Linked DNA regions of Lepisosteus oculatus. Each later gene encodes a partner of the first gene's protein in a complex. Links are inferred from orthologs where the notes say so. Each region holds a gene or a part of one and is shown in the gene's direction. Other genes may lie near its edges.

Evidence for each region.
Region 2: pfdn2 (region 1) and dnaaf10 share a complex: the UniProt entries of both Homo sapiens proteins name them as parts of the PAQosome complex. The link is inferred for Lepisosteus oculatus from reciprocal best matches to the Homo sapiens genes PFDN2 and DNAAF10.
Region 3: pfdn2 (region 1) and uxt share a complex: the UniProt entries of both Homo sapiens proteins name them as parts of the PAQosome complex. The link is inferred for Lepisosteus oculatus from reciprocal best matches to the Homo sapiens genes PFDN2 and UXT.
Region 4: pfdn2 (region 1) and pfdn6 share a complex: the UniProt entries of both Homo sapiens proteins name them as parts of the PAQosome complex. The link is inferred for Lepisosteus oculatus from reciprocal best matches to the Homo sapiens genes PFDN2 and PFDN6.

Annotation. Positions count from the first base shown.
Region 1 is NC_090713.1:22,363,885-22,371,702, forward strand, and holds the start of pfdn2 (prefoldin subunit 2), read left to right. Parts: upstream 1-4,802; 5' UTR 4,803-4,841; coding exon 4,842-4,931; intron 4,932-6,114; coding exon 6,115-6,203; intron 6,204-7,646; coding exon 7,647-7,770; intron 7,771-7,818. Other genes in the region: nit1 (deaminated glutathione amidase), read right to left, coding at 305-562, 1,207-1,332, 1,785-1,921, 2,465-2,568, 2,780-3,010, 3,920-4,026. UniProt on the Homo sapiens protein: Binds specifically to cytosolic chaperonin (c-CPN) and transfers target proteins to it. Binds to nascent polypeptide chain and promotes folding in an environment in which there are many competing pathways for nonnative proteins.
Region 2 is NC_090712.1:8,546,664-8,553,972, forward strand, and holds the start of dnaaf10 (dynein axonemal assembly factor 10), read left to right. Parts: upstream 1-4,291; 5' UTR 4,292-4,554; coding exon 4,555-4,740; intron 4,741-5,128; coding exon 5,129-5,229; intron 5,230-5,592; coding exon 5,593-5,723; intron 5,724-5,850; coding exon 5,851-5,952; intron 5,953-6,718; coding exon 6,719-6,834; intron 6,835-7,270; coding exon 7,271-7,309. Other genes in the region: RNA-binding protein PNO1, read right to left, coding at 1,038-1,105, 1,397-1,467, 1,652-1,769, 2,336-2,396, 3,000-3,083, 3,397-3,546, 3,662-3,859. UniProt on the Homo sapiens protein: Key assembly factor specifically required for the stability of axonemal dynein heavy chains in cytoplasm.
Region 3 is NC_090697.1:76,549,210-76,556,868, reverse strand, and holds the start of uxt (protein UXT), read left to right. Parts: upstream 1-4,652; 5' UTR 4,653-4,697; exon of another isoform or gene 4,698-4,744; intron 4,745-5,047; 5' UTR 5,048-5,072; coding exon 5,073-5,158; intron 5,159-6,192; coding exon 6,193-6,274; intron 6,275-6,677; coding exon 6,678-6,745; intron 6,746-7,205; coding exon 7,206-7,313; intron 7,314-7,659. Other genes in the region: ER membrane protein complex subunit 3, read right to left, coding at 323-405, 963-1,042, 1,463-1,544, 1,910-2,014, 2,275-2,368, 2,804-2,861, 3,419-3,573. UniProt on the Homo sapiens protein: Involved in gene transcription regulation. Acts in concert with the corepressor URI1 to regulate androgen receptor AR-mediated transcription. Together with URI1, associates with chromatin to the NKX3-1 promoter region.
Region 4 is NC_090713.1:23,463,915-23,470,878, forward strand, and holds the start of pfdn6 (prefoldin subunit 6), read left to right. Parts: upstream 1-3,961; 5' UTR 3,962-4,118; coding exon 4,119-4,182; intron 4,183-5,078; coding exon 5,079-5,149; intron 5,150-5,383; coding exon 5,384-5,508; intron 5,509-6,964. Other genes in the region: mrps12 (small ribosomal subunit protein uS12m), read left to right, coding at 580-628, 1,511-1,899. UniProt on the Homo sapiens protein: Binds specifically to cytosolic chaperonin (c-CPN) and transfers target proteins to it. Binds to nascent polypeptide chain and promotes folding in an environment in which there are many competing pathways for nonnative proteins.

The DNA of each region.
Region 1 (7,818 bases):
CCAGGGGGCGCTACAACAACGCAGTGCGGCCACTGCGCCTGTTTAAGCGCGTACCCCAGAGCTCAGGGACGTACCCCAGATTTCGCTACAGCCCCAGAAGCTCAGGGAGGAAGAAGCTTTTCAGTTCGGTACAGATTACAAACTGAAGAAACTGACCATAAATTAATTGCTTAATGTTCAATTAGGTCATTAAGGTCAGAGGCTGCAAGCAGAAGCAGTGGGACTCTGTGCTGCCCCCCCCAGGGCTGCACACAGAATAGGAGAACAAGTTGAATAGCTCCCCCCGCCGCAGGTGTCCAGTGGTTCAGTCCTGGCTGTAGAACTGCTCCCCCCGCCGGTGCTGCTGCAGTGGCATGTCCCTCCTCACCTCCCGCAGGCGCTGCAGGTCGACCTCCACCAGCGCCAGCCCGGGCTCCGTGGCCCCGCAGGCCCCCAGCACCTCGCCCCAGGGCCCCAGCGCCAGGGCGTGGCCGAAGGAGGCGCGGCGGGCGTGGTGGCGCCCCACCTGGGCGGCGGCCAGCACGAAGCACTGCGTCTCGATCGCCCGGGCACGCAGCAGGACCTGGGGCACACGCAGAGGAACAGGCCTCAGAGACGGGGACCCCTCTCCTTCGATCACCTTCACCCACACTCCCGCCAACTGCAGCGATGAAGTCACCCCGGGCCGGGCTGCGTACAAACCAGAACAGCCTGGAGGGGCTCGGGTTCGACTGAGGAATGATGAAGATCTCGGGTGTCAATGAAGTCTCTCTCATTGCCCCAGACAAGTTAATCATTTCTTCAATTTTAAACTACTTTCTAACGCCCGAGAGGCGATTAGATTTGGTTTCCCAGGTCAAGTTAAGGTCAGTTACCAACAACAGGGCCTCACTAGGCTTTGGCCTGTAGGATCGTCCTGCATGTGTCCAAGTCGCCCAACGACACTCAGGGTTAATGTGGAGTAGGGAACTGGGTTTGACACCCATGACTTAAGAATGTGTGCATGACTGCTTGTGTGGGCTTCTCACATTGGGCACCCAGGCCATCTCTCTGTGCCGAAAACACCAGGGACGACACAAGTCCGTGTCTGTGGATCTCCCTGCTCAAGCCCAGCAGAGACACTGCTACCGACAGCAGTCCTAAAACTCACTGAAAGATTGCCGTACACACGTCGGCCCCGCCCACCCCGTCCTCCTCTCCATCGCGTCCGTGAGGTCACTTCCTCACCTCCCAGTGGGCGGTCCCCGTTGCCACGGTGAAGGCTGAAGGATAGGTTAGAATCTCCGCCCCCTTCCGCACGAGGGCCAATGAGAACTCAGGGAAGCGCAGGTCATAACACACGCCCAGTCCCAGCTGGAAAACAAAACAGCTGGATGCGATCATTAATTACAGCTGAAGACCTTACCTGACTCAGTCAAATTAAAAGTTCTGGTGATATCAGTAATAGCAGACTGGATTTGTACTGGTATAGCAGAGCATTTCACATAAAGGGGGAGACCCACATCATCCTCCACTGAATTGTTGCCCCACCTGGGAGATGCACAGTGTTCATTATGCACCAGCAGCCCCAACTGGGAGACGCACAGCCTCCATTCTGCACCAGCAGCCCCACCTGGGAGACGCACAGTGGCCATTCTGCACCTGCAGCCCCACCTGGGAGACGCACAGTGTTCATTCTGCACCAGCAGCCCCACCTGGGAGACGCACAGTGTTCATTCTGCACCGGCAGCCCATTAACAGCCCGTGGTCTTCGGCTGCCCCGGTGCTGGAGATAACGGTGAAAGAGAGAAGAGAAGAATCGTAACCTTGCCGAGGGGCGTCTGGACGGGGGGGACGATGCAGGGTCCCGGGATGGTGAAGGAGCTCTCTTTCAGGGACACGCCCCTTCCTGTCAGCTCCACGTCAAACAGGTGGCACTTCCTGTAGACGGCTGCAATGTGACCTGGGAGAAAGAGAGGATGAGTGTGGCCGTGGAGTGACAGGGGTCATGTCACCATGCCCTGAATGAATTATGAATGATGAATTATTTGATCATTGTAGAATTTTCTGACTTTTTTCAGCCACAGACAGCAGGTATTATGACCAATGTAAAAACAGCAGTGGTCAACATGATGCCTCGCTGTGCTAAGGGCCCCACATTAAATTCCGGACCAGGGGTGCTGTCTGTGTGGAGTCTGCATGTTCTCCTGTGATTGCGTGGGTTTCCTCCCACAGTCCAAAGACACGCCAGTGGGTTACTTGGCTTCTGGGAAATCGACCCAGGTGTGAGTGTGAGCGTGCGTGCATGCGTGTGTTTTGCCCTGTGATGGACTGGTATCCCTTCCAGGGTGTACCCCGCCTTTCGCCCGCTGCCTGCTGGGATAGGCTCCTGCTTCACTTCGGCGGTGAGCTGGAAGAAGTGGTGGGAGAATGGGTGGGTGGATGGAACAGCACGACAGGACAGGACAGGACAGGACAGGACAGGACGGGGTGGGGGGCTGCGTACCCTGGTCATCCAGGATCACGTGGCTGTTGTAGATCCGGCGATCCCTCTCCCAGTCCTCCCCTCGCTCGTGGAACCCCCCCAGGGACAGCCAGATCCCCAGTTTCCTGAGAGGGAGAATTGGGAGGGACGTCAGACAGGCCCTGGACGACGGGGGGCACCCAGCTCTTGTGCTTCTCCTGGACTCTACGGTTTATTTCCTGGTTCTACTGGGAAAGATGCCACCCTCCTCCTCCTCCTCCTCCTCCATGTGAGTAAGAGCAGGGAACAGAGCCTGAGCGAGTAACGAGCCCCCAGGCCGCCCCCCGGTGGACGGACCTGGCCAGGGCCGCGTAGCGCCCGACCGTCTCGCCCTCCAGCGCCTCCGCCAGCTCCAGCGTCTCCTCGCGGCCCGAGCCGATGAAGTCGAAGCCCTCGGGCAGGAAGGCCATGCAGGCCCCGCCCTCGCGCGCCCGCTCCACCAGCCCCTCGCAGCTGGCGAAGTTGGCCTCCTTGTCCGGCGTGGAGGTGACCTGGCACAGCGCGGCCACCGGCTTGCGGGAGCTCATCCTGGGAAGGAGGGAGGGGGAGAGCGCGCCTGTGTTAGTCTTCCCCCTCCCCGGGACTGGACAGGAGTCAGCCTCAGCTGCAGCTTAAGCCCAACGGACTTCCGGACGGACCAGCCTCAGTCCCAGGAGGGGGGACCGGGATCAGTTCAGGCACCCCTCTCTGAACTGGCTCCATCACGCTGAGAGCTGGGGTGGGGGGAGCGGACTGTGCCTCACCCAGGTGGGGCTGCACACTGCTGGGGGGTGGAGGGGATCCCCATGAGCTGTAAAGCGCTCTGAGTGGGGGTCCAGAGGACAGCTGTAGAAGTGTAGAGATGACACAATAAATAACATCACAATTCTGACTCGCTGCACTGATCAGTCACTTAAACAAGTTTGCCGGCGATGAGGGGGGGTGACCTGTATGGATCAGGACCACCACTGCAGGCCTAGTTTGTAACCTCTCTTATGCTCTGAGGAGCCCGAGTTTGAAGGGGCTGGGTTTGAAGACGGTCTGGAGTATAAACTGAGGTCAACCCGTTGGGACAGAGAGCCAGACAAGTGCCCTTTACAGCAGAGACCTGGGCTCTACCCAGCCCTTCTCTCACCACTGTATCCAGTACAGGGGGGAACCGGAGCCTATCCCAGCAAGCAACGGGCGCAAGGTGGGGTCCACCCTGGATGGGACACACACACACACACCGGGGCCAGTTTCTCCTGGGGAGAACATGCAAACTCCACACAGACAGCACCCCAGGTGCGAAAATGTATCCATGCAGCAGCAGTGCAAACCACTGATCCACTTTGCCCCCACCGGCACCACACCCAAACCTGACCAAGAGGAACGGGATAAGATTTTCAAACAAAGCGGGCTTTTCACGTACAGTACGGCGGCCATTAAATACCCCGCCGGTCCACGGGGCGTGTTTACCTCTCCTGGTCGCCTGGGCGCGCTCTCCGAGACGTGAAACTCGTGTATCGGAGGGCTGTGCTCCAGGCGTAGCTCGCTCGACTCCACAGCGTCCCGCGTCGCAGCATGGACGGAGCCCAGAGCAGGAACCTCAATCGAGGCAGAAAAGGTCGTCGCTCCTCCTGTTGTAATTTAACAGAACAGCCCCAGTATTGTGACCAATAGAGTGTGGCCGCTGGTGAAGGCGCACTTTGAACTGTTTTGTGTGCGTTTTTTTTATTTCGTTTCTCCGAACTGCAACCAGAATGATTACCTTGGGTATCAGATGATTTACTTTATTAAACAAAGTTAGAAACAACCGTCCAGGACATGCACTCTGAGTTTTAGGCTTACACCTGTGTTCAGGAAGAAATTGATCACGGGTTGACATGAAAAGAAAGAGCCTATATTGTTCATTCTGGCGTTACAGATCTACAGCAGTATGCATACCCTGTTAGTCTAACTTTATATAAACAGGTCATGCGTTTCCACCTGAGGATCTCCACGATTAACGGACTTAATGCGTCTATTATCGCTATAATACCTGTTCAGAAGTACACAAGATCACATTTCAAATACAGCGAAAATGCTTCTTTACACGATAATGACAACAAATGACATTTTTCCCCCCTGCAGCTAAATATCTTAAAACGAAATTTCCTAGGCATGTTGACAATGGCTGTTTTCGATGAATTACAATTACCTGTTTTCCATTAAAGGTGAATTTCCCTCAGACCTAATTGTTTGTTTGTTTTTTTAAATTATCATTAAAAGAATTTGCGTGGTTGTCGCACGGGTAGGCTACGTCTCGGCGCTTCTCGCGTTGGTGTCCAGCAGGCAGCTGGCGGGGCAGCCCCGGGTAGTAAGGAGGGGTCCTGGGAGCACGGCCGTTCCCCTAGTCAAGATGGCGGCGAGCAGCGCCAGCAGCGGCGGCACGGCCGGTGGTAAAAGCAACAGCGGCGGAGGGAAGCAGTCCGGCCCCACGGCCGAGCAGGTAACGCCCGAGGCCGGCGGGGAGCCCCGTTCTCCAGGCGGACCGGGTTTGGGAAGGGGAGGGGGCGGCAGAGGAGGTGTGGGCATGCGGCGGCTGATCGCACGCTCGCCTGAGCCCAGCGCCGCAACCCGAGCAGCCCCGATTTCTGGAAACACCAGCAGTAATGCAATCTCTGCAGTGCGGTGACACGACGGGACGCGACACGGGCTCTGATGAGCTACCGCACGGCAGACGAGACCCCCCCCTGTCGCAGGGGGCGCACGGTTTTTATTGTGGACTGAAACGCCCGTGTTGATAACCGGACCGTTACCGTGTACAGTACGGCGATGAGCCGGGTTTGGACGCGGCGTTTTCACGAAATACGACGAATTTGTCGGAACAGTCACTGGCTACCGTATTTTTATTACTTCTAGTGGCACAAAAATATGATGATTGTATCCTCACTAATAATAGCTCCCGTTTTGCTTAACGGGTAAGGGAAACGTACTGGAGTGTCCAGTCAGTGTGTCTGTATGAACCCCTCTCTCTCAGTGCAGTGTTAATGTACTGGAGTGTCCAGTCAGTGTGTCTGTATGAACCCCTCTCTCTCAGTGCAGTGTTCATGTACTGGAGTGTCCAGTCAGTGTGTCTGTATGAACCCCTCTCTCTCAGTGCAGTGTTAATGTACTGGAGTGTCCAGTCAGTGTGTGTGTATGAACCCCTCTCTCTCTCAGTGCAGTGTTAATGTACTGGAGTGTCCAGTCAGTGTGTGTGTATGAACCCCTCTCTCTCTCAGTGCAGTGTTAGTGTACTGGAGTGTCCAGTCAGTGTGTCTGTATGAACCCCTCTCTCTCTCAGTGCAGTGTTAATGTACTGGAGTGTCCAGTCAGTGAGTCTGTATGAACCCCTCTCTCTCAGTGCAGTGTTCATGTACTGGAGTGTCCAGTCAGTGTGTCTGTATGAACCCCTCTCTCTCAGTGCAGTGTTCATGTACTGGAGTGTCCAGTCAGTGTGTCTGTATGAACCCCTCTCTCTCTCAGTGCAGTGTTAATGTACTGGAGTGTCCAGTCAGTGTGTCTGTATGAACCCCTCTCTCTCTCTCAGTGCAGTGTTAATGGACTGGAGTGTCCAGTCTGTATGAACCCCTCTCTCTCAGTGCAGTGTGTGGACCTGTCCAGTCTGTTGACGTGTCTCCCTCTGTCAGGTGGTGGCCGGGTTCCAGAGGATGAGACAGGAGCAGCGCAGCATGGCGTCCAAGGCAGCGGAGCTGGAGATGGAAATCAACGAGCACAGGTACCGTCTGCTGGCCGCCTGCTCCCGTCCGGACCCTGTGCAGATCCTCATTCCCAGGGGTTCGGCTCTGCAGGTGGACACAGTGTTCCACCTGTTACTGCGCTGAATACATATCCGGCCATCTTCTGACCGCTTTATCTAGTACAGGGTCCCTGGGGAGCTGGAGTCTATCCCAGCAAGCAGGATGCACCAGGATACACCCTGGATGGGACATCAGTCCAGGGCAGGACACTCACAACAGGGCCAGTTTTCCCAGAAGCCAGTTCCCCCACCAGCATGGGAGGAGACCCAATGCGAATGCGGAGAGAGCATGCAAACTCCACACAGACAGCTCCTCTAGTCCAGAATAGAACCCAGAACCCCAGAGTTGTGAGACAGCAACCCTGAGCACTGCACCACCGTGCCTCCCAGCTCAAGAGTGCCCTAGGATATATAGAAGTACATGGACTCTATACACATACTCTACACCTCATCTACATAGACAAGGGCTGTGTGTCTGCAGCAGGGCTGTCCAGTCCTGGTCCAGGAGGGGTCAGTGTGTCTGCAGCAGGGCTGTCCAGTCCTGGTCCAGGAGGGGTCAGTGTGTCTGCAGCAGGGCTGTCCAGTCCTGGTCCAGGAGGGGTCAGTGTGTCTGCAGCGGGGGTGTCCAGTCCTGGTCCAGGAGGGGGCACTGTGTCTGCAGCAGGGGTGTCCAGTCCTGGTCCAGGAAGGGTCAGTGTGTCTGCAGCAGGGGTGTCCAGTCCTGGTCCAGGAGGGGTCAGTGTGTCTGCAGCAGGGCTGTCCAGTCCTGGTCCTGGAGGGGTCAGTGTGACTGCAGCGGGGGTGTCCGGTCCTGGTGCAGGAGGGGTCAGTGTGTCTGCAGCGGGGGTGTCCGGTCCTGGTCCAGGAGGGGTCAGTGTGTCTGCAGCGGGGGTGTCCGGTCCTGGTCCAGGAAGGGTCAGTGTGTCTGCAGCGGGGGTGTCCGGTCCTGGTCCAGGAGGGGTCAGTGTGTCTGCAGCAGGGCTGTCCAGTCCTGGTCCAGGAGGGGGTCAGTGTGTCTGCAGCGGGCCTGTCCGGTCCTGGTCCAGGAGGGGTCAGTGTGTCTAGAGCAGGGGTGTCCGGTCCTGGTCCAGGGGGGGTCAGTGTGTCTGGAGCAGGGCTGTCCGGTCCTGGTCCAGGAGGGGTCAGTGTGTCTGCAGCGGGGGTGTCCGGTCCTGGTCCAGGAGGGGGCGCTGTGTCTGCAGCGGGGGTGTCCGGTCCTGGTCCAGGAGGGGTCAGTGTGTCTGCAGCGGGGGTGTCCAGTCCTGGTCCAGGAGGGGTCAGTGTGTCTGCAGCGGGGGTGTCCAGTCCTGGTCCAGGAGGGGTCAGTGTGTCTGCAGCGGGGGTGTCCAGTCCTGGTCCAGGAGGGGGCGCTGTGCCTGCAGCCTGGCCTGAGCTGCCCTGTGCTTGTGCGTGTCCCGCCAGCCTGGTGATCGAGACCCTGCGCGAGGTGGACCCGGCGCGGAAGTGCTTCCGCCTGGTGGGCGGCGTGCTGGTGGAGCGGACGGTGAGGGAGGTGCTGCCGGCGCTGGAGAGCAACAAGGAGCAGGTGAGGCCGGCGCCCGGCCGGGAGGGAGGGCGCCGGGGCCCGGCACCG
Region 2 (7,309 bases), on another chromosome or scaffold:
AATGTTCCTCTTGTTTACATTAATTGTAATGTTCATATTATAAATAAAAATGTTGCCAAACTTTGGTTAATGTTAACATAATTAAAAAAAACTCCACTACATGTATCTTTTATCTTCTGGATCAGTGTGTTGCTCGAATTCCGGCAAACTTGCATATCTGTTCCAGTGTCAACTGCCATGTGCTCTGCTTCAAGGGGAAACAGTTTGAGATTTTTTTGTACATAAGAATTTATTTACTTTCACTTATCACTCTCTCCTCTGTGTTGCTAGTGTGTTACTTAGGCTGCAATTCTAGACTTTAGTGCTAAGATTCATTCCTTTTCAGGGAATGAGCTTTCAGTTTGTGTGGGAAAATGGTTAAGTTGAATGTTAAGCTTTTTTTTCTGCATGCTGCACCATATGCTGTGGGAATTGAAAACTTCATTCTGTATGAAAATGAAAATAAAACCATTTGAAGCTTAAGTTGATTAAAGCCTCTTGAAAAAGTTTACTTTTTAAAAAGCTGAATGCTCCATGTCTATAAAAAATAAATTAAAACTGAACCCAGTCTTTTAAGTATACAAATATACTTCATACAGTACGTGAGAAAATAAACCCTCCAGCTGTATTGATGTAATATTCTGTTGATATGAATCTGAAAGTAACTTTACTAGCACATATGTAGTTGATGCATTATTACTTATGGTTCTGGAAGCTGATTCCTATCAGAACGAGTACAAATAGTACTGTGCATCTGGAAAATGTATAAAAAGTTTCAAAACTGCTCAATACCACATGATTGCTTTGCACATTATTTTAAGTCAAGCCATCAGCTGTTGATGTAGCTTTATTCCACAACAAAGTTACAATTCACAACTTAACTCTGTGCTTCAGATTTAAGTTCATCATTGATCCACAGTGAAGTATAACAATGCAGTTAATTACAATTACAAATTGTTGGTGCCTTGAAGTCTTTGATCGTCAAACTCCAGCAGGCCTCAGTCACAGTGATTTGTACTTCTAGAACACCCAAAAATGTCCCAATTGTCCAGAATTTCCTAAAATCTCTCTGCAGTTCGACTGGCCACTGCTCGAATGTTACCATAAACTTTTGATGGAGGGCTTCCTGTTGGAAAAATTAAAAAATATTACAGATCATAACAGTTTTTTTAACCATTAAATGTTACAACATAGCAGGGGAGTCTGTTTTACATACAGTAATATGGCTATGGAAATAACTTCAGAAAACAATGGACTGAAAACACTTAAGGTTAAGACATCTGCTGTTCACTGGTCTACAAATCTCAAGGGTAGTTGTCAAAAGGTTCAGGCTTTTTACACCAATATAAGTTTTTTTTCCTAAAATGCAGTATAAATCTTATGGAATTAAAAGTACAGACTCCTATACAAAACTTACCCAAAATGAGGTTGCATATAGCTGTTCGTGCCATTTTAATGTTCTGGAAAGATCCCAAAATATGTATTTTTCTAAAACAAAAGGGAAAATATTATTTGCCAAATACAGCCTCTAATTCTTTATATCTTGCATAATACTCAGAATTGTACATAAAACAATGGAGTATTTATAAGATCAGTTCAGTATAGGGTTATTCTTCACACCCACTGCCCAGTAGGTTGAGACACAATGACAGCGTAAAACAAAAGTACTCACGTATCCGCTAAGACGATCCTTGTCCGGGTCACGTTTTCAATTGTAAATTTAGTTTTTCCTCCTTTGCCTGCTATTCTTCCTATAGCTCTGGAAAGATGATCTCCCTTCAACGGTTTAACTTTAAAAAAAAAGGTATTTTGAGTTGTCTTAAAGGGAGTCTACCTCGCTTACACACCTCTTAGAACATCTGAGGTACCCTATCAGTATTAATAATCCACAGAAAATAATTTAAAGGGACATCTTACTAGCATTTAAAGAATAAAAATGAGACTGTTTACAGCCCAGGGCACTGTCTAGGCAGTACCCAGCTGCTCTGTTTTTTAAATCAGAATCTTGGTTGGTTGACTTCTACATGACCCTGCATTTCAAAAAGAAAACTTGCAGGCTTGAAGATTAACACCTAGTTAAGAAGCTGACAGATTGCACCATTCTGGAACTGACTACAACACTTCAACAACCTCAAGTATGAGGTGTTGCAAGGACAGCAACTTTACCATATAAACATGAATTATGTCAAAACTATCAAATGACTTCAGTTTCTCATTAACGTTGTTAAACCCGAAGCTCACATAAGCCACAAACGAGCTAGATGGTTCCACATGGTTGGACATTTTGCCCAGTGGTCATTTTAAATGAGTAACAGAAAATCCATGCCACAGACTTTAATACTGACTTAGGACTTACCATCGGTGACCTCAAAGGTTTCTAGAAACAGCTCATCTAATCTGATCAGGGCTAGGGCATCCTGTGAACAAACAAATCTGTTGTTTAATGCCAAGTGTGTTTAATTCTTTACCTCAGTACCCACTCCAAATTGAGGGATATTAATATATTTACATCTAAGAAGACCCGACTTAGAAAATAATATAAAATGTCACCATGTTACACTACATTAGTCTGAAGAAGAGCAATTAGGTACATTCCCAGGATTGAACAAATACTTTTCTGTAAAACACAGAAAACAAATGGAAATTAATGGGAAGTACATTTATAACTTAAAACAGAAGGCACCTTTTAATATAAAGGGTCATAGATGCCTCAGGTAAACTACCTGGGGTGTTCAACAGGGCTGATAACCTAGCTTATTTTAAGAAATGCTGGATGAAACTCTGATCAACTGGCCAACGGCAAGCAAGTGTGTTAGATGACCTAAACTTCCTCTCATTAGTAGCCATTATGTTATATTATGCTTGGTTCTCAAATGTAAACCAGATGTACAACATCACACAACAGTCAATGTTATGTATTTTTCAAAAACATGAAAGCCATAGGAGCAATCCCAAAATTTGCCCATATTTTACCTGAATCTAGTCATTTTATACATACATATATAAGGTAAGAAACTCACCTCCACTTGAAATCCTAGTACAAATGCTTTCACAAAGTCTGCTGCTTTGGTAAGTGCACTTATGTCTTGTGTTTCTTTACAGGTCTGAAAAAAATAAACGCATTAATTACGTTACAGGTTTGATGACGTCTGGCTGTAGCCTAATTATTGTTGAAAGAAGGCAATTACTAGATTTTGACGTATGAAACATTAAAAGGATGCTTACATAGTTTGCATCTACCCTTACACAGCCCAGTCACACGCATTATTCTAAAAGGTACTGACTCTAAAATTGTTTGGCAATTTATACTACCAAATATATTTCTAATCATTAAATTCAGAACGACTGAGTAGATCTATAGTAGAATAACACCAATCAGCGTTAAGAGGCGTTTCAGTTAAGAAGGTAAAAACTTACTTTTATTTCAACATTTCTTGTTTTAAGGTTAAACCTGACTTGTAACTGTAAATGTTCTACGATGGGAGTGAAGATCTTCATCCAGTTTTCTTTCAAAGGTGTATACCGATGTGACGGTACAGGGATTTTTCGCATTTCATCAGAATCTCCCTATAAAACGACGAAAACATAGCATAATCAGCAGGTAACTCCGACTAGCTAGCCCCAAAGAAGCACATGTTACACCACAGATCGTATAATCTACAAATAGTGTTAACTACTTTACCTTCATTTTGTCTCCAGAAATGGGTGGAAATTCGGGTCTCTTCCTATGAACTTCAGTTTCCATCTGCCCATCGTCAACTTGACGCTTTCGCTTGTTGTTTTTCTTTGATTTAACTTGCTTAAACTCATCGGCCACGTTCTGACAGCCCGTACTGCTGCTGGGCTCGTTACCAGTCCTCGTCGTTTGTTCAACTTCCATTGTTAAGCGATAAACAGCTCCTGCAATGAGAAAAATCCCTGTACTTCTTATAGAACACTAACAACTGCAACACATGCGGTAAGACACCATCTTGTAAAAGGACCTAACGTGTCCACCAGGGTCCTTCTCATAAAAACAAATAGACGACTTTCAGGACTACGTCACTACCCCTCCTAGGACCCAAAGGTAAAAAAGAATGTTACATACTTACGTTACAAATAAATACAGGGTATTGTACCATGTAGGTTTAAAAAATCTTTCGTTATTGCTAAAGATCTAAAAATGTAATCTTAAAAGTGAATTAATGTTTTAATCACTGTAACAGCTCGCTACAGTTAAATACATACGTTATTGCTACGGTAGTGGTGTTCAATATATTTTCAGTCTGTAACACGATCTGAAACGACAGCGTACAGGGGTGCAGATAATTAATTTTGAAGAATGTCTAAGGATTTCTGTGCGACTTCAAGTGTGGCGCAATTGCTTCAGGCGCGGCACAAGACAGCTTGCAGTTTGTGGGGTCCTCCGGCTGAGTTAGGAAATGGAAACCCGACGGTACAGTAACTGTGGCCCACACTGCTAGACGTGACCAGTGACGAGACGTGCTGTCAGAGCTGGAGCCTTGTTTCTACTTTTTAGACATTTTTTACTTTCATCTTTGAATTTGAACATACGCCGCCGCCTCACGAGAAGCAATGTCGACTCCTCTGGAGAAGCCGCAGATTATTTCTCACATACAGAAAAGTCTCAACTACACTGTGTTTGATTGCAAATGGATACCCTGCAGTGCCAAGTTTGTGTGCATGGGGAACTTCGCTAGGGGGACGGGAGTGATGCAAATCTATGAAGTCCAACACGGAGAAGCTAAGCTTGTCAAAGAGGTCTGGCCAACGTATCCTGTTGATTATAATTTGTATTGGTCATTTATTTAGATATTTAAATGGCAAGGCAGTTTTCTAGAAAATACTTCGGCGGATCGTTACCATGGCAATGCACGCTTTGTCCATAAGGGCAACACCTTTGCTGGGTTTTTAAGTCGCACATTGTTCTTGTTTTAACAGAAAGACGACAAACGAGAACTATTCGTTTAATTAAGCTTAAAGTTCAGGTCTCTTGGTGATATAATCCAGATGACTGCAATGGATTGTCGTGGGGAAAGTTATAAACAGACAGATTTTCCGATGTATTTGCATTGAATTGGTTTGGGTTTCTGTGCTATCCACGCCAATTTCAGCGTCCGAAATGTTGTCATGTTTTGTCTTTTCGTAGATTGAAAAGGCCAAGCCTATTAAGTGTGGAACATTTGGTGCGACTTCAATACAGCAGAGGCATCTAGCTACTGGAGATTTTAGTGGGAACCTCAATATCTGGTAAATTTAACTTTTATCAGTAAGAATCTTAAGGTGAACCACGTCTTTCCTTTCTGGGGTGAAAGAAAATGCAAATGATGCAAGTGCAAGTATTGCATAAACAAGGCTGTTTTATTCTCAGCTGAAGTAGTCCCTAATGAATACATGGTATCCTGTTTTGCTTTTTGTCCTCTTAATGAGGCTTTATGAGTATTATTTGAATTATGCCAAATAAAAGTTGTTTGCAGCTGAGGGGTTATAGTGCTTCTGTCATTCAGAAACATAATTTGGGAAAGTGGTGTATTTGTCTGGTGTGAATGGCAGGATTGCAACGTGAACATGCGCACAGTCTTTGTTTGAATTCCTTCAAAATATATTTTGTAGGAATCTTGAAGTGCCGGATGTCCCGGTTTATTCAGTGAAAGCACACAAGGAAATTGTGAATGCCATTGATGGTGTAGGAGGCCTGGGTATTGGAGATGGAGCCCCAGAGATTGTGACTGGGAGCAGAGATGGTAAACACATGCTGTTCATGTTCATGTAAACTTTGTACTTGTGGCTTATGAACTTGGTAACAAGTAGTGTGCAGAATATATTTTAATTCACGTTAAAATGCTGAAATGTATGTTTTGATTTATACAGGAACAGTTAAAGTGTGGGACCCAAGGCAGAAAGACACTCCAGTTGCAAATATGGAACCAGTTGAAGGAGAGTCAAAGAGAGATTGCTGGACTGTAGCATTTGGTATGTATAAGGAACATGTGGCTACTGTTTTCTGCATATTTTGTTTGAGGTTTTCCAAGATTGTTCCAAATGGTGTTAAAGCAATCCATCACCCGCATTTTAAGCCTGAAATAAAATACATGAGAAATACTTTTTCGGGGTCAAAATGTTTTTAACAATTAATCCTGTTGATTTTCTATATGGATATGGGTATTGAAAATCATCAAGTTTTTTGTGGTTTAATCGCACTCCTTGGTTGCCAACATTTAATCATTTCACAGTTGAAATGCTTTTAATGTTGCATTTACTGTGTCGTGAAAGCTGAAGTATATATTTTGGAGGCTTTATGTAAAAAATGAAATGAAATTTCCAAATAGACGTTTTCATGTATGTTGAAGAGGTTTTAATTTTGTTTACTTACTCAGTGCACTCTTTATTTGGTAGTATTTGGTGCCTTTCAAAATTATATTGCAGTATTTGTATTTAAGTGATACATACAACTATTTTTCTGCCTGCCTAAACATACTATATATATAAAATAAGGTACAGAATACAGGTTGCCTTCTTAAGATTAAAATGTTTACCTCTGTATATCATAAAGACGTAATGAGGAACACAAGATTAGCGTTTAACCTGTTATCTATCACCATTATATAATGTAGTATCAATGTTTGTGTCTAGATGTAGTACAATGAATAAATATTGATATCACAACTATAATTATACTTTTAAAAGATAATTCTTTCTTTTCACTTCAGAATCTGATTTTACATTTTGTTTGAGTTAGGACATGCATTCAATGACCAGGACCGCTGTGTGTGTGCTGGATATGATAACGGCGATATTAAACTTTTCGATCTGAGGAATATGTCACTAAGATGGGAAACAAACATTAAAAATGGGGTAAGGTGGAACACCAGTATCAGTTTTAAACTAAAAGCATTCCGATTAACATATAACTAGACAGTTTTTTTTACTGTTGAACTGTTTCTGAATAATTAGTAAATGCTAAAACTCTATCTTAATGAATCTGGCTTTTCCAACAGCAAAAGGTATTTGATTGACAGGATGAAAAGATGTTGCATTCTTGAAGGAAAGTAAAACAGTAATACATTGTGTAGTGTTTACCAAGTTTTCATCTTGCATGATCTTCAATTCTGCCAAGTCCATTGTATTTCTATGAATTTTCTTAATGCTTTTTAAGACTGTTTGGTTTGAGTTATAACTGAGTTATATTAATGTGGGTGCATATTGTGTTATTGTACATCATGTTTCTGTAATGTCTTCTTTTCATTGTATGAGTTGCAGTGTTTGGTTTCATTTTTTGTGTAATTGACAGGTATGTTGTGTCGAGTTTGACAGAAAAGATATCAATATG
Region 3 (7,659 bases), on another chromosome or scaffold:
TCCCTTTAGCTCGAGAGGCTGGGTCCCTGTTGAGTGATGCCAGAGGCCCGGGTTCGAGTCCCCAGCGGTGGGGAGCCGACCTGAGGCGGCAGTGGCAAGGGCGCATACCCACATGAACCCGAGAGCGCTACAATATATTATTCATCCTGCGACACCGTACGGTATAAAGAGGTTTGGCAAATGACATGACATGATGGATATTATTCAGGATAAAAAAAACACCATCTGCTCTTTTCATTTTCGGATTCAACCCATCCAGTCTTTGGCTTTTCAGGAGACCTGGAAGAAAATTTAAGGGGGGGGGGGGAGAGAATTCTCTCACCTTGAACGCCTTGTTAGGGTCAGGGGGCATCGCCATGGCAGCTCCTGTCATGTGATCCTGCATGATGCGGGACTGGTCAGCAGCTGGAAGGGACATTGAAGGGTGCAGCTTAGACTGAGGTCAGAAAGCACAGAGTCTCTCAACAAATTTTAAAATCCATCAACACGGGATTCTCTTGCCCTTCAAGAAAACACTCCCATGGTCCAAAGACATGCTGGAAGGTGAATTGACTTCTGGGAAACTGTCACTAGCTGTATGTGTGCATGTCTGTGCTCTGTGATGGACTGGCACCATGTCTAGGATTTATCTTGCTTTGCACCCTCTGATAGCCTGGATAAGCACCAGCTCCCCCACGACCCTGAACTGGATAAAGCTGTTGGTAAATGAATGGATGGATGGATGGATGGATAATGTAACCAACCAGCTCCACCAAAGGAGCAAACATTTCAATTGTCGTGCTTGAGTGCCTCCTTTGCATTGGCGCTGAGCAGTTATTTTTCATCTGCTCTCGAGACAGAAAGAGCTCTGCAGCTATCTCTCCTATTAGTGAGCAGACAAGGCACGCTGCTCTGTGGACTAGTCAGCGGCCGGAGAGAACAGAGAAACAGGGGTGCCTTGGATCCAGCTCTGACTTGCTCACCATTGTCATGACCCAGGATCAGGTTGTACATGCTGCGCAGCCCAAAGACATTCAGAAAATACCAGGACGCCGAGCTCACCCTACACAGAAAAAGATGGGGACAATCAATCAATCAATCAATTCTATTCTTATACAGCGCCTTTCAATAGAGAGCTCTCTCATAGCACTTTACGTAAAAGACACAATACAAAATACAGTAGCAGAATATACAATAAAAATAGATATAAGTGAGAAATTGAGGATTTAGATTTAGAAAAGTCAACAGAAGCTGCATTTTCAACTGGGTCAGGAAGGGAACTTGGAAGACGAGGGGCTGCCTCTCCAAAGGCTGGGTCCCCCGACGCACGGCGTGGTGTCCTGGGGGCGTTACGGGACCCGGGACCAGCCGAGCGAAGGACAGGCACGAGGCTCACAGCCAGAGCAGAACGAACAGCGCGAACAAGGCCAGGGCAGCCGTGGGCCTGGAGGGGGCGAGAGGGCAGACCGGTGCGAAGCCGTACCAGGAAGCGTCCAGCGAGAGCAGCTCGATCCCGCGCTGCAGCATGGGCTTGAACCTCAGGGTCAGGGGGAAGGGCACCTTGGCTGTGCGGAGAGAGAGAAGACAGGGGGATCAGTGGGCAGTAGGCAGGCTAGACCTTCAGGCTGCACACAGCTGGGCTCATGTCCCAGCCCCTGACTGCAGAGCTCAAGCCCTTCACAGGCGGAAACAAAACTCCTCCTGGGGTAACTCCTTTCTCTCTATCACTGCCACCCCCGACTTGTCCAGCAGTGTATCGCTTGAGTTGGACTCAGCCATGAAACAAAATTCCCCCCAGAGGATAATAAAGCTTGAATTGATTGAATTGCAAGTGGACTGCTAGGGAAATACCTTGATCTTTTTCCAGCAGGGGTCACATTCATTTGCATTCATTCATTTCTTCTGAAAGACCAACAGAACAGTCACTTACTGGTGACGAACCCGGAGAAAGCCCAGTTGATCCAGCCGCCAATCACGATCATGGGGAGGACGTTGGTCACGTTGCCCTTCATCATGTCCGTCAGCATGCTGGTATCTGCAAAAGACCAGTCAGAGGCTGGAGCTGACACACCAGGTGAGAGGTAACCCCAACACCCCAAAACTAAACAGCAGCAAATCCCCATAACTCTTCCCACTGTACGATGCCAAGTTCGAACTCCTGTAAATAGCGCTCAGGACAGGGGGCGTGCAGAGTGTGAGGTTCCCCGGTTTGCTTCAATTCTCTAGTATTTTGAGAATGAAAGCACCTCAACCCCCCACCACCACGAACGAAACGGGACGGTTCCTCTTTCTCACCTGTCATGGGGTTTTTAGGAACAACCTTCCTCTTGGTTTTCTTGAAGAACCCCGTCTCGGGATCGTTGAAGTAGTGCTTCCGCATCGCAAAGGACTGAAGAGAAAAGCGTTTGGAGAGCATCACGCCTAGAGCTCCGCCGGCACCCCGTCACGCAGAACACGAGGCGCGCGCGTCGCGAGACGAGGGCAGCCTCGCTCCCCAGACAGCGGGCAGCTCCGCCACATCTGGAGACCCAGTCCAGAGACCCACACCGTCTTGATTCCAGAGAGGAGCACCATCTCTGCTGAAACCTTCTCAGTGCTCTGATCATTGATCCACACAGCTGAGGATAACCAACCGATTCCTGACACAGTGGAGCTCACGGCATTTCTCACGACCAGTTCAGTTGAAGCCAAGCACAGAAAGCGTAGCTCACATCAGCTCTTAACCTGAGAGTCGGAAGCACCCAGCACAAATCCAGTATGAAGGACAAAACTATTTTCATTAGGATGCTCCAGAGTCTCGGAAAGCCCAGGATAACATTCTTACCTGCTTGGGGATGTATTTCCCATTCTCTCTCAAAATACGGCTTCTGAGCAACACTTGGCTGCAAAAACAGATATAACAAGTTACTTGCGGTAATATTTACATTGATATTTACATTGCGTCCTACTTTAATTCTTTTATCTAAGCTTAGTGCTGGCTTGGTACGCACAGGGCTCTACCAGAGGGCTGGGCAGTGCCCTGGGCTATGACACAGAGCTTCCTGTTTCCTCTGCTCTTTTTACATTCGGGGCCACTTCTGCACAACTGTTTCAGTCGATCAGAGCCTGGTCACATGCCACAAAACTAATCTCAATCTCTGTACTAGCCCAGCTGCAGATCACTTGGTGCTGTGCCAATCTTTCCCATATAACTTAAGGCCTATAGACACCTTCTGCACAGGTAATATTTCCCCGCAGCTAATAAGCTAAAATTGATCTTACAGTTGATGTATTTCCAACACTTCACCTGCAGAATAACTTCGATATGAGACCATACACTGATTTGTCAATTTCAAGTTGATTGTGAAATCTCCCACCAACATCTACGAACAACGATTGTTTAAACTCCTGCAGCATTTCACGATTCTGCCCCCGGAAAGATGAAATCCGCTGGGCTCACCTGTCGGACACCTGCTGCAGGTCCACTTTCTTGTCACTGTGCAGCAGCTGGGTGACGTAGTGTCGGATGACCCCCACGAAGAAGGTGACGAAGACGATGGGCAGCACGACCCAGACTCGGATACTGGAGTCCAGCAGCAGCTCCGGACCGGCCATGGCGACTCGCTTGTGTCAACACACCCTGAAAACGAGCCCCGGCAGGTGAAGGACAGCCCGAACACTTCACACCACAAACACACTGAAGTTCGTTTTTTGGGTGCACATTATCCTACAAGAAGTAGGCCACAGAACAGTAGACCGCGATAATAATACCCAACGATATGAGAAACTTCAGAAAACACTTGGATATCCTCGCGTCCGTAAAAACAACACGGTACACGGTAAAAAAAAAAAAAACGATGACAAGGAGATTCAACTTAACAACCGGGTTTGGCACTTCAACCAGATGAGTATTGTATTTTCTAGCGTCGCTTATTAGGTCTTTTAGAAGTTTGACACTTTTCTTTTCAGTGACTTCTGAGCTGAGGACGTTGTTCGGTGGGCACCGAATTTAACACGAACTCCCCACAACAACAACAAAAAACGAAGGAGATCAGAGCAAATCTCCCGTCCAGCTCTTCACAGGAGCTACGAGTGCGAAACTGTGAAACTGTCCCAGCTGCTGCCGAAAACCGCTCCGACACTCGCCTGTTTTCTATTGGGTTACTCGGGACACTGCCAGAGACGTCTATATGTACCGAGGCCTGTGTCGAAATAATACCAGAGGTTTTGTTAATTAAAAAAACGCCACCCATTAAACACCTGCAGCGATAGAGCCAGCCGGGTCTCCGCGACCACAGACCGGGGCTCGGTTCGGTATCCCCGCTCCGCCCTCGGCGCTGGAAATAAACATTTAGTTATAATTTCCCCCCACCGAAAGCAATTTTAATCCCACTTTATTCAGTATTGATAAGGACCTCGAAAAACACCCGTGTCGTGTGAGTGTGTAGGTAGGTACCTGTGAACCCTGAAAGGACTTCTCCACATGTCCAGAATTAAAAATAAGGACGGGAATTTAAACTTTGACCCCGGCGTCAGTAACGCAAATTAATAAATTCACGTATAAGACACATATATTTTTTTAAAAAAAACGCTCATAGATAACGAACCGTATTTGTTTTCCAAGTCAATGTATGGATTTATTTACACCACATTTAAAAAACACAAAATGACATTAAAACGTCTTGACATTTAACCCGGAAGCCCATGAGTGACGCGTGCAGTGGATGAAAACATATGATGTATGAATTTGCTCCCCTTGATTCTCACGATCTCAGTAATCGATGAGGTTTATATACTTTTCCGCCTCTTGAAAAACTATTTTACACCGTGTGTCACATCTGCTTTTCTATGTTTTTTTGCATTAGCAGCAGTTCAATAAGCAGGGGACGTGGTTTATCTGGGTGACATTCAAAGCGAGATTAATTCTGCAAGGAGAGACATGCCTAACGAAAACGTGGCGTTGGGAATATATCGTTGAGCACCGAGAAATGATCTGTTTGTATCGGGTTTGATTACGATAGGTGTGTAAATCGGGCGAGGGGTGATGTCAGTGTTTGTTTCATTTTCACACCGTGCGTCTCTCCTACAGGCTCCTGCCCTGCTGAGACTATACGATGACTCCGGGCGGCAGGCGGAAAGTTGAAGAAAAAGTCTCTGCATACGAGACGTTTATAAACGAGGTCTTGAAGCGAGATTTGCAGTAAGTGTGTGGGGGGCCGAAGAGTGGAATTTTGTTTCTGTTTTTATAGTCTAAATGCAGGTTCTAATCCCAATGTTTTACCTGTCGCAGCTGTAGTTGTCCGGTATATAGTGCAAAACTGAAGCTGTGTGCTTCACCAGATTGGATAAACTGCTGTCCTGTCTCCGTGATCCCCCCCCTCCCCCCAAAAAAAAATCACAGTTTGCCTTTTGTTCTCTAGCTCAAGGCACTCCCCCAGATGTACAGCTGTCTGATGCATTTCAGGAAATTGTGAGCTCTTGTGTAAATTCTGCTGAGAGAGGGGGAGAGTTTTCTTTTAATAAAGAAGATACTTTATTGATCCCGTGAGGGAGATTGCAGTGCAACAGCAGTTTAGCACAGTCAACAGAGCACAGTGTAATGCAATAATACAACAATACAATACAGTCGGTACACTCAGTGAGAAGTGCACTAAAAAAAGTTGCTCACAGTACAGAATATACAAAAAACAGAAAGTTGTATTGCACATTATAAATATAAAAATATATTGCACAAGCCCCTAGATATATTGCAGAAAAAAACAGTTGTAAACGGGAAAAACCAGATGTAAGCAGAGAGTTTAATGTTTCGTCCATAAGCACGTTAAAGTCAATGTTGGCCCTGCCCAGACACACAGTGGATGAGTTGTACAGAAGTCCTCACCTTCATGCAGATATTGTCAACAGGACAGCACAGACACCCGGGGTGCTGGCTGGGACTCGGGAGCCTGTAGCTTGGAAAGATGAAGGGATTTAATCTGTCGCACCCGGAGCCCAGAGACTCGCGGTCTCCCGTCCCGCGACAGACCGAGGTCACCTGCGGCTCACGGCTGTTTCTGGCTGCTCAGCCGACGCCTGGGTCCGGTTTTTGGGGGGCGGGGAGGAGGAGGTGCAGATGCCCGAACTCAAAGTAAAAACACCCTGAACATCGTTTTCATCTCTCGGCCATTGGGGTTACCTGGCGAGTGTTGTCGCCGTGTCGGCGCCGTGACTACTGTCTGTCTGTTACTGTGCCAGAACGGTGCTGGAGCAGAGAGATGAGATCTACGAGAAGATCGCCCAGTATTTGCAGCTGAAGAACGTGATTGAAAGCCTTCAGGTACAGCACTCGCCTGCCTCTCACTTTACAGTGTGGGTTATATTGTAGGACAGTAGTTATACATTAGGGAAGTTTGAAATCGTGAAATGCAGTGTTTACATATATACTCGGAATGATGTGAACTGGTATCTCAATACCTATCTCTTTAATTTCATGCTATTATTTTATTTCCATTGTAGCGATAGTGTCCGCTAATAATGTGCTATGTGCCAATAGGTGTCACATAGCACACCTCGGATTTTGGAGCAGTTTTATTAAAACATAAATCACTGACATAAAGAACTATAGATGTATGATTAGATGTACATATATATATATATTCTCACAGCTGTGATTTTTGTTTCGAGTAATTTGGTGAATTAGGTTGTTTTTTCTTACTCTTAAACCAGTCTCCCTATTCCAGGAATCGGGAAGCAAGGAGCTTAAAACGGATGTGGACCTGGGCTGTAATTTTTATGTCCAGGCTCATGTGTAAGTACAGCGGAGATGTTTTGAGTCTTCCGTCTTGATTCCTGGCCTGGCTTCTTAACCACCGGTTTTTACATCTGTTAAGGAAGTGGGTTCTTCAAAATAAAACGGATTTCTGGTATTGAAGTGGTATAGACTTTTTTTGTCAATATTTCCTGTGAGAGAACAGGAACGTGCCTTCAGGAGGAGCACTCTGTTATCAGCTGGCTCAGTGGTCAGGGATCTGCACTTGCAAGTGGAGGGTTGCGGGTTCGAATCCCAGGTGGGGACACTGCTGTTGTGCCCTTGAGCGTGGTACTTCGCTTGGACCCCCTTCAGGGAAGCACCCAGCTGTGCAAATATACATGGGTCACGTTGGATAAAGGTGTCTGCCAAAGTATTGATTGCTAAATGAATAATTGGTTCGCTTACCACGTGTCTGCTGTAGTTGACACACTCAGCTTTGCCTTGTTTCTATGACCAGTGAGGATCCTTCCAAGATCTTCGTTGCCGTGGGATTCGGGTTCTTTGTGGAGTTCACGCTGCCCGAAGCCCTGAAGTTTATAGAGAGGAAGACCAGCCAGCTGACAGAGTAAGACTCGGGGAGGGGAGGGGGCAGCAGTCTGCTCTGCTGTGCTCTTACCGGCTGTGATCAGTTCAGCCCAGGATCTGTGAGCTTTCACCTGGACTCTTTCTGAATTGTTCTGTGCATTGAATTTGTCTTGCTCTTGTAAAATGTATTGTTTTTATTAGATTTTTATAGGCATATCAGAGAGCTGGTTTAATTGCATGATAAAGAGGTGAAAGTTACATTTTCATGCTTCTATTGAGAATAAATAATTAAATGAACGACAATAAGTTAAATTAATTAATTTCTTGTCCTAAAATATATTCTGTTGTACTGACTTAGCATGGGATTCACTGCATTTCAACTGTTT
Region 4 (6,964 bases), about 1.1 Mb from region 1:
TGCTGTCAGACTCCCAGTGCGCAGCAGTCTGATCCGCTCCAGGTGTGACAGTGCTGTCAGTCAGACTCCCAGTGTGCAGCAGTCTGATCCGCTCCAGGTGTGACAGTGCTGTCAGACTCCCAGTGTGCAGCAGTCTGATCCGCTCCAGGTGTGACAGTGCTGTCAGTCAGATTCCCAGTGCGCAGCAGTCTGATCCGCTCCAGGTTTTACAAACTACAAGAGGCTTTTGTGCAGTAGGCACACAAAGAGGCTGGAGATTTTTAAGTTTGTTACTTGGGGATTTTGTCTAAGACATTAGTAGGAGTGAGTAGACAATAGAAGTGTGACATCAAAGTTAAATTTTTATTTTTTCTCCCTTGCTCCTGGCAATTTGTGCTAGATTTTGCAGAGCTTAAAACATCACAGTGTAACAGGAAGCTGACTTGAGTTATGGTGCCAATGCCTGTGACGTGTATTTGACTATCGGAGGAGTCGCTTCTTCTCTCGTTAGTTGAAATGTGCCAGGAAGGTGCCTTGGTGCTGATGACACCTCACGGCGCCTTGCTTCTGTTCTCTCCCCAGGAGTCCCGCAGCACAGGGATGGCTTTGCTCTCCAATCTGCGGCCAGTGGTGTCAGCGCTGCTCTGGGGTGAGTGTCCTGGGCCAGTCCTGCCAACCTGCTGGTGCCAGTTCAAGCACAGTGACTGTAGCAGGCCTTGGGATTGGGGCCTGTTGCGCGTTCTTGCCGGGAGCTCCTTACAGGGAAAAGACAATCAGAATGAGCAGTAAACTGCAGGAGTATGTGAGTGAAGCACCTGAGAAAAAGGGTATATGTGCACCTGATTATGTGTTTGACGTTTGAGCACTGTGTGAAAATCACAAACATCACATAGAAACAAACCTATTAGAACATAAAAGCTTTGGCAGTTCTGTGGTGACTCAAGCAAAGCTGCAGATTGGCTGAGAAACTGATAATAGGGTAAAATTTAATTTTTAAATGAATTGCTCAGTATAATGTTGGAATAACATTATGAAACAAATGGTGAAATGGTGCTTAATGAAACAAAACTACAAAGTATTTGAATGGTTTGCAGTTGTGTTTGAATCATATAATTATTGAAAATGGTAAAAAAAATCTTTCTGTGCACAAAATAGGTGTGGTTTTAATTTGTGAACCGCTAGCATTTACATGCTACAACCATTTTGATTTTAATAAGTCATTTAAAAGAATTTCACACACAGGAGAAATCCTGACCTAACCCATGCATGCTGTCTGTACCACCTCGTCTGCCAAGGGGCGCTGATACAGGTGTCCCCTGTCCGTCCCAGCTCTGCAGCAGCATCCGGGGCCTAGGGTGCTGTAACTGAAGGTTCTGCTGTACTTATACGGTTCTGCGGTGACCCGGTAGAGAAGTATGAAGCGACATACTTGGTACATCTTGGGTAGAGGCGATGGAGAAGAGTGTCTGAGACAGGTCTTGACCGGCCCGTTCCCTCTCTCATGCTGTTCCTCGCTTTCTCCGTCCTGCAGGTGTGCACGGGGCAGGCGGTGTGGCCAGCTGGCCCCTGGCCCCTCTGCGTGGGATGGCCACTCTCAATCAGATGCACCGCCAGGGCCGGCCGCGCCCCGAGCCGCCCCGCGTCAGCCCCACCTTCGGCCGCCCGCAGCTGAAGGGCGTGGTGCTGAAGACCCTGATTCGCAAGCCCAAGAAGCCCAACTCGGCCAACCGGAAGTGTGCCCGCGTGCGTCTGTCGAACGGGCGGGAGGTGGTGTGCTTCATCCCCGGGGAGGGGCACAACCTGCAGGAGCACAACATCGTGCTGGTGGAGGGTGGGCGCACGCAGGACCTGCCCGGGGTCAAGCTCAAGGTCGTCCGTGGGAAGTATGACTGTGCCCACGTGCAGAAGAAGAAACAGTGAGCCAGCGAGGGACTGGGCCCTGTGGACACTGTGGCTTCATCCACACAGACTATTCCACCCGTTTCTCCAGTGGTCAGACCTCTCCTCCTGACCTGGGGCAGTTTTCTGCCACAGATGAGCTGTAATAAAGTCCACTCTGATGCTGCAGTCCTTTGTCTTTGTGCTATTATTAGAATCTGGGATTGAGGCAGGCAGCACTACATTGTGGTTTGAGACGGAATGTAATGTAACTGATCACAGTTATGGGTGGTTTGTTCATTTCAAGTGTCTGCTTTCAAACTATTATAAATGGCTACATTACTGAAGTTCTGTGCAGAAAGTGCTCTAATTCTCACAGAATGTTGCCAGTATTCAATTGTCTTGTCATGTTGCTCTGTGACGAGAGTACACAAGTTCATTCATATGCACAGCAGCCAGTCCTGTTTGTAAAAGGGAGAAAATTCAAATGAGCAACAATTCCAGTTTGCTACACAAATCCTGATGTTTTACAGAAGAGATGAGAATTGTTGTGCAAATAAAGATCTGTATTTCCACCCCTGAATTGAAGTGACTCAAACCAAAAAAAGGGTAATTTGGAAAGAAGGAATGGCCTTTTCTGGAAAACGCATTCAGTGAAGGTTTGAAATCCCTAAATAGTTCTCTAGTGACAGTGGACCTGCAGCTGACAGGTAAGATACCTGTGGTGACTGAGAGTGTGTCATACTAATGGTTTCATTCCAAACGTGCCTTGTTTTTGGGTGAAGTGCTGGAGAAGAAGGAGCTGAAGAGGAGGACAGCGCACAGCTCTTCATCTGCACCAGTGTCTGCTAGAAAGCAAATTTGCAGCTGTGGTCCCTGGGCAGGACACGGCCCTTGAGATACAAGATGCAGAAAAGACATTTCAAGACATAGTGTATGATAGATATTTCAATAGGTAAAGTGTATATAAGCACTGACAAGAAATACATTGAAAGTTTCAAGAAGTACATTAGAACTGATCAAGATGGAGAGCATGATGTTGGATAAGGAGGAAGAAGTTTCATGATTGCAAAGACTGATTTGCATGAAGCAATGATTTCACTTTAGTTTGAGGAGTTATAAATTAGATGAGAATCTAATTGATAGAATTGTGTTCCAGAAGCTGGAGGCTGTAACCATAACTGCTGACTCACCAGACTCAGTGTCTCTATATTTCACCCAACACATACAGCGAGAGGCTCCTGCGGTTCTGGTTTTGGGATACAAAACCTTTTAAAGGAGGGCGCTGAGGCTATTTCTGATCCTAAAAAACAGTAATTTGCAAAGTGCATGAAATTATCGAATGACAGTAGATGATGCTTTTTAGTTGTGTTGCAGTGGCGACAGGGTGTTGATTTCTTGTCCAGTGCTGAATGAGTAGAAGGAAGGGAAACACTCAGCGCCAGCTCGTTCCTGCTTGTAGCTCTCTTACAGCCGGCAGGATGGGTCATTTACAAAACACGAGTGCGCATGCTACTGTGTACTTGCATGTATACGTCTTATATACAAAATGAGTTAGGGAAAATAGTTAATGAATCTATACATCTAAACGTGTTCGTAATTCTTATATTACGCATTTTATGCAAACGATCCTGCTTTTCGGTAAACGATAATGTTTTTCTTATTTTTTCAAACGTTTGAACATCAAATAATACAAATGAGAGAAGGAAAAAGCGGTAGTGAAACAAATACACTGCCAGAGGTAATTACAAACCTGAATACAAAATGTATCTTTGCAATGCATTTTTGCATTAGTGTATTTAAACTTTTTAATGGAATATCGCATTTCCATCTTATAAATATCAAAGGAAGGAGAAGCGACAGTTGAGTGTATATATTTACCCATTATTAATAACAGATTAATGATAAATACATGTTATTTACATCTTGCGAATTATATCAAACTCCTTAACTCTAACATTCAGTTAGATGCTTAAATAGAAAGTCTTCCAAGTCTATCCAAAACCAACCCAACCTTTTTTCTTATTTCTCTGTCCCTTACCAACATGGCGTCTTTTACCATCACAAGTCAGTGCCGTGGTAGCGTCATATCCGGTGCGACGCCATAGCTCTTCCTGTCTCAGACTGTGAAGCTAGGCAGGTGGTGCGGCGAGGTGGTAAAAAGGCTGCCGAGCCCAATAATTAAAAAAAATATTTGGCATTTTTATCGGAATATTATTCCGTCCGCTTTTGGTACCCTAAAACCTGGTGTTGGACCAGCGATGGCGGAAGCAATCCAGAAGAGACTTCAAACTGAGCTCGAAAAATATCAACAGACCCAGAAAGGCAAAGTTGAATTTATTATTGCAGTTCTCCTAGATACAAAGTGGTGTCTATCGCATTCTGTATTTTGAGCTGATAGTGGCTACGGACGCACTGTTCTGGTCATCGTGTCGCTGGACACGTCTGATACTGGAGACTCACAAAACTCGAAGCTGAATGTGAAATGACCAGTGCTTTAAGTGGGTGACCACTCCGGTAGCGACTTTGTTGAATTGTTAAAGGTCAGCTCACGGGGAGCGTCCCAATCGCTTGTGTGTCCTTCTTCGTGTTAACATAACGCCGCTTTAATGTGAAGGAGCCTGGGGTTTCTGCCTCAGCTCTAGGTGATGATAATGAATCGTGCAGTAATAAAGGGGGCGGCACTGCTGCCTCATGGTACTGGGACCTGGGGTGCTGTTTGTGTGGAGCTTATATGTTCTCTCAGTGTTTGAGTGGGTTTCCTCCCACAGTCCAGACTGTGCTGGTGGGTTGATCAGCTTCTGGGAAAACTGGCCCTGGTGCGAGTGTGTGTGTCTGTGTGTCTCCTGGGATGGACTGGGGTCCCGTCTGGGGTACCCAGCCCTGAGCCTGTTGCTAGCCGGGAGAGACTGTGGCTCCTGTGTGGCCCTGAACTGGATGAAGCGATTAGGAGATGGATGGAGGGCTAAGAGTGTTTAAGGCAATATTTGTGCTTTTAAAGTGTCATTACTGATGTATGAAGAACTGCTGATCTGTGGCTGTGAAGGAGTGTGCTCTGCCTGTTCCAGTAAAAGCCTGTGGGCTGACGCAGAAGACGATAGGTAGAGAGTAGTGGTGCGTTAATGTGACTGTCACACTGGCCTCTATGTTACTCACGTTCCCTGAGAGCTGCGACTGCTTGGGAAATAGGAGGCCTAAATATTAAAACTGTTTCTTTGCAGATCTGAGTAAAAGCATGTCGGCGAGACAGAAGCTGGAAGCCCAGCTGACGGAGAACAACATCGTGAAGGAGGTGAGGCGCCACTCTCCCTTCAGACCTCTTTGATCCTCTGTTTTGACTTTCTGGTTCTGTTGCTGGTTCGTCAGCATCAGAGAGAGTTTTATTCCCTGCTGCTTGTCGCTTCTTCAGATGTGCGTCTCCTTTGTGGTGTGAGGCTGAAGCCTTTACTAAGGGTGAGTTGCAGGTCCTCCCATGTGGCTCTGAGGGCTAACTGGTTTATCTTCTGCTCTGGCTTTGTGGGGGCAGGAGCTGGACTTGCTGGAGGCTCAGAACACTGTCTACAAGCTGATTGGCCCAGTTCTAGTCAAACAGGACCTGGATGAAGCGAAGGCTACAGTGGGGAAGCGGCTGGAGTATATCACTGGAGAAATGTAAGTCCTGTGTGTGTTTGTCCTCGTACAATCCTGGCAGATTGAGAAAGTGAAGCCAAGTGTTAGTAGAGACCTGCCTTCTACAGCCCAGTTTGACTGAGCTAATCTGGCCCTGTAGTCTTCTCTCTGACCTCTCTGAACTGATATGTTTATTGTCATAAGAAGGCACATTACTCGTTTCTAATATGCTTTTCTTATCCTGGTCACAATCACTGCTACTGAAGTGTTACAAATTACAAAATCCTCTGTTACAAATTCAACTGTTTCTAAGCACTACAGCATTACACTGAGAGCTTTATACATCAATGCTCATTAGTTAAATTTCCTTGACAGTACCCGTCTTCTGTCCTGTGTGTGGAGGTTGTTGGCTTAATTGTGTTCTAGAGTGCACTTTATTGTAATATAAAAATCTAAAATAGCTACACTGCTGTAAAAAGACAGTTTAGATTGTTTTTCACTTATTACACCATGTTCTTCAATCTTTACGTGAAAACAACTGTATGGTACTCTACTGAACTTTAAGCTATTTTATGATCACATGTAATCCTGATGGATCTGTATATGGTAGGATAAAAAGTGGCCTTTTAAATTTGTAGATGTGGAAAGAGAAACTTGATAATGACAAGAAGCCCCTGACAGTGAGTCACTGAGATATGATGTATCAGCTGTGACTGGTTTAGGCAGTCCTGGTCCTGCAGGTTTCAGAAGTACCCGAATAATCCCTGGAAATCACAGCCAACTGACTTTTAAACACTTAATTGTATCAGTTAGGTAATTGAGGTTTTAGCTGGACTAAAAACAGTAATAGATTAAGTTTGTCCTGAGATGGTGTGTTTCAGTAGATACTGGTGAATTTAAGTGCCGATCTTGCTTTTTCATCAGATGCACTAGACTGTATCAATACTGGCCAAAATTGTTAAAATACCATAAAATATTAGTTGATGTGGTCAGTAAATAGCTGCATGGGACATAAACCTTCTTTAGCCTCCTTGTGTTTTCTCTCTAATTATCCGAGTGGTTTTAACACTTCCTTTAAGTAGACTATAACTGAAATGACGTGCAGATTTCTGGTAGAAATTCCAGGCCTGCAAGGAGGTACAGTTCTTTCTCACAGTCCTGTGCTCTGTTTGTCTCTGGGGCTCAGTGTCCTACTGTGCCACCCTGTGTCTCTGGGGCTCAGTGTCCTGCTGGGGCTCAGTGTCCTGATGTGACAGTTTGTCTCTGGGGCTCAGTGTCCTGATGTGACAGTCTGTCTCTGGGGCTCAGTGTCCTACTGGGGCTCAGTGTCCTACTGTGCCACCCTGTGTCTCTGGGGCTCAGTATCCTGCTGGGGCTCAGTGTCCTGATGTGACAGTCTGTCTCTGGGGCTCAGTGTCCTACTGTGCCACCCTGTGTCTCTGGGGCTCAGTGTCCTGCTTTCTTCTGTCTTTCAACATCTTTCCTTTCTCTCTCTTCA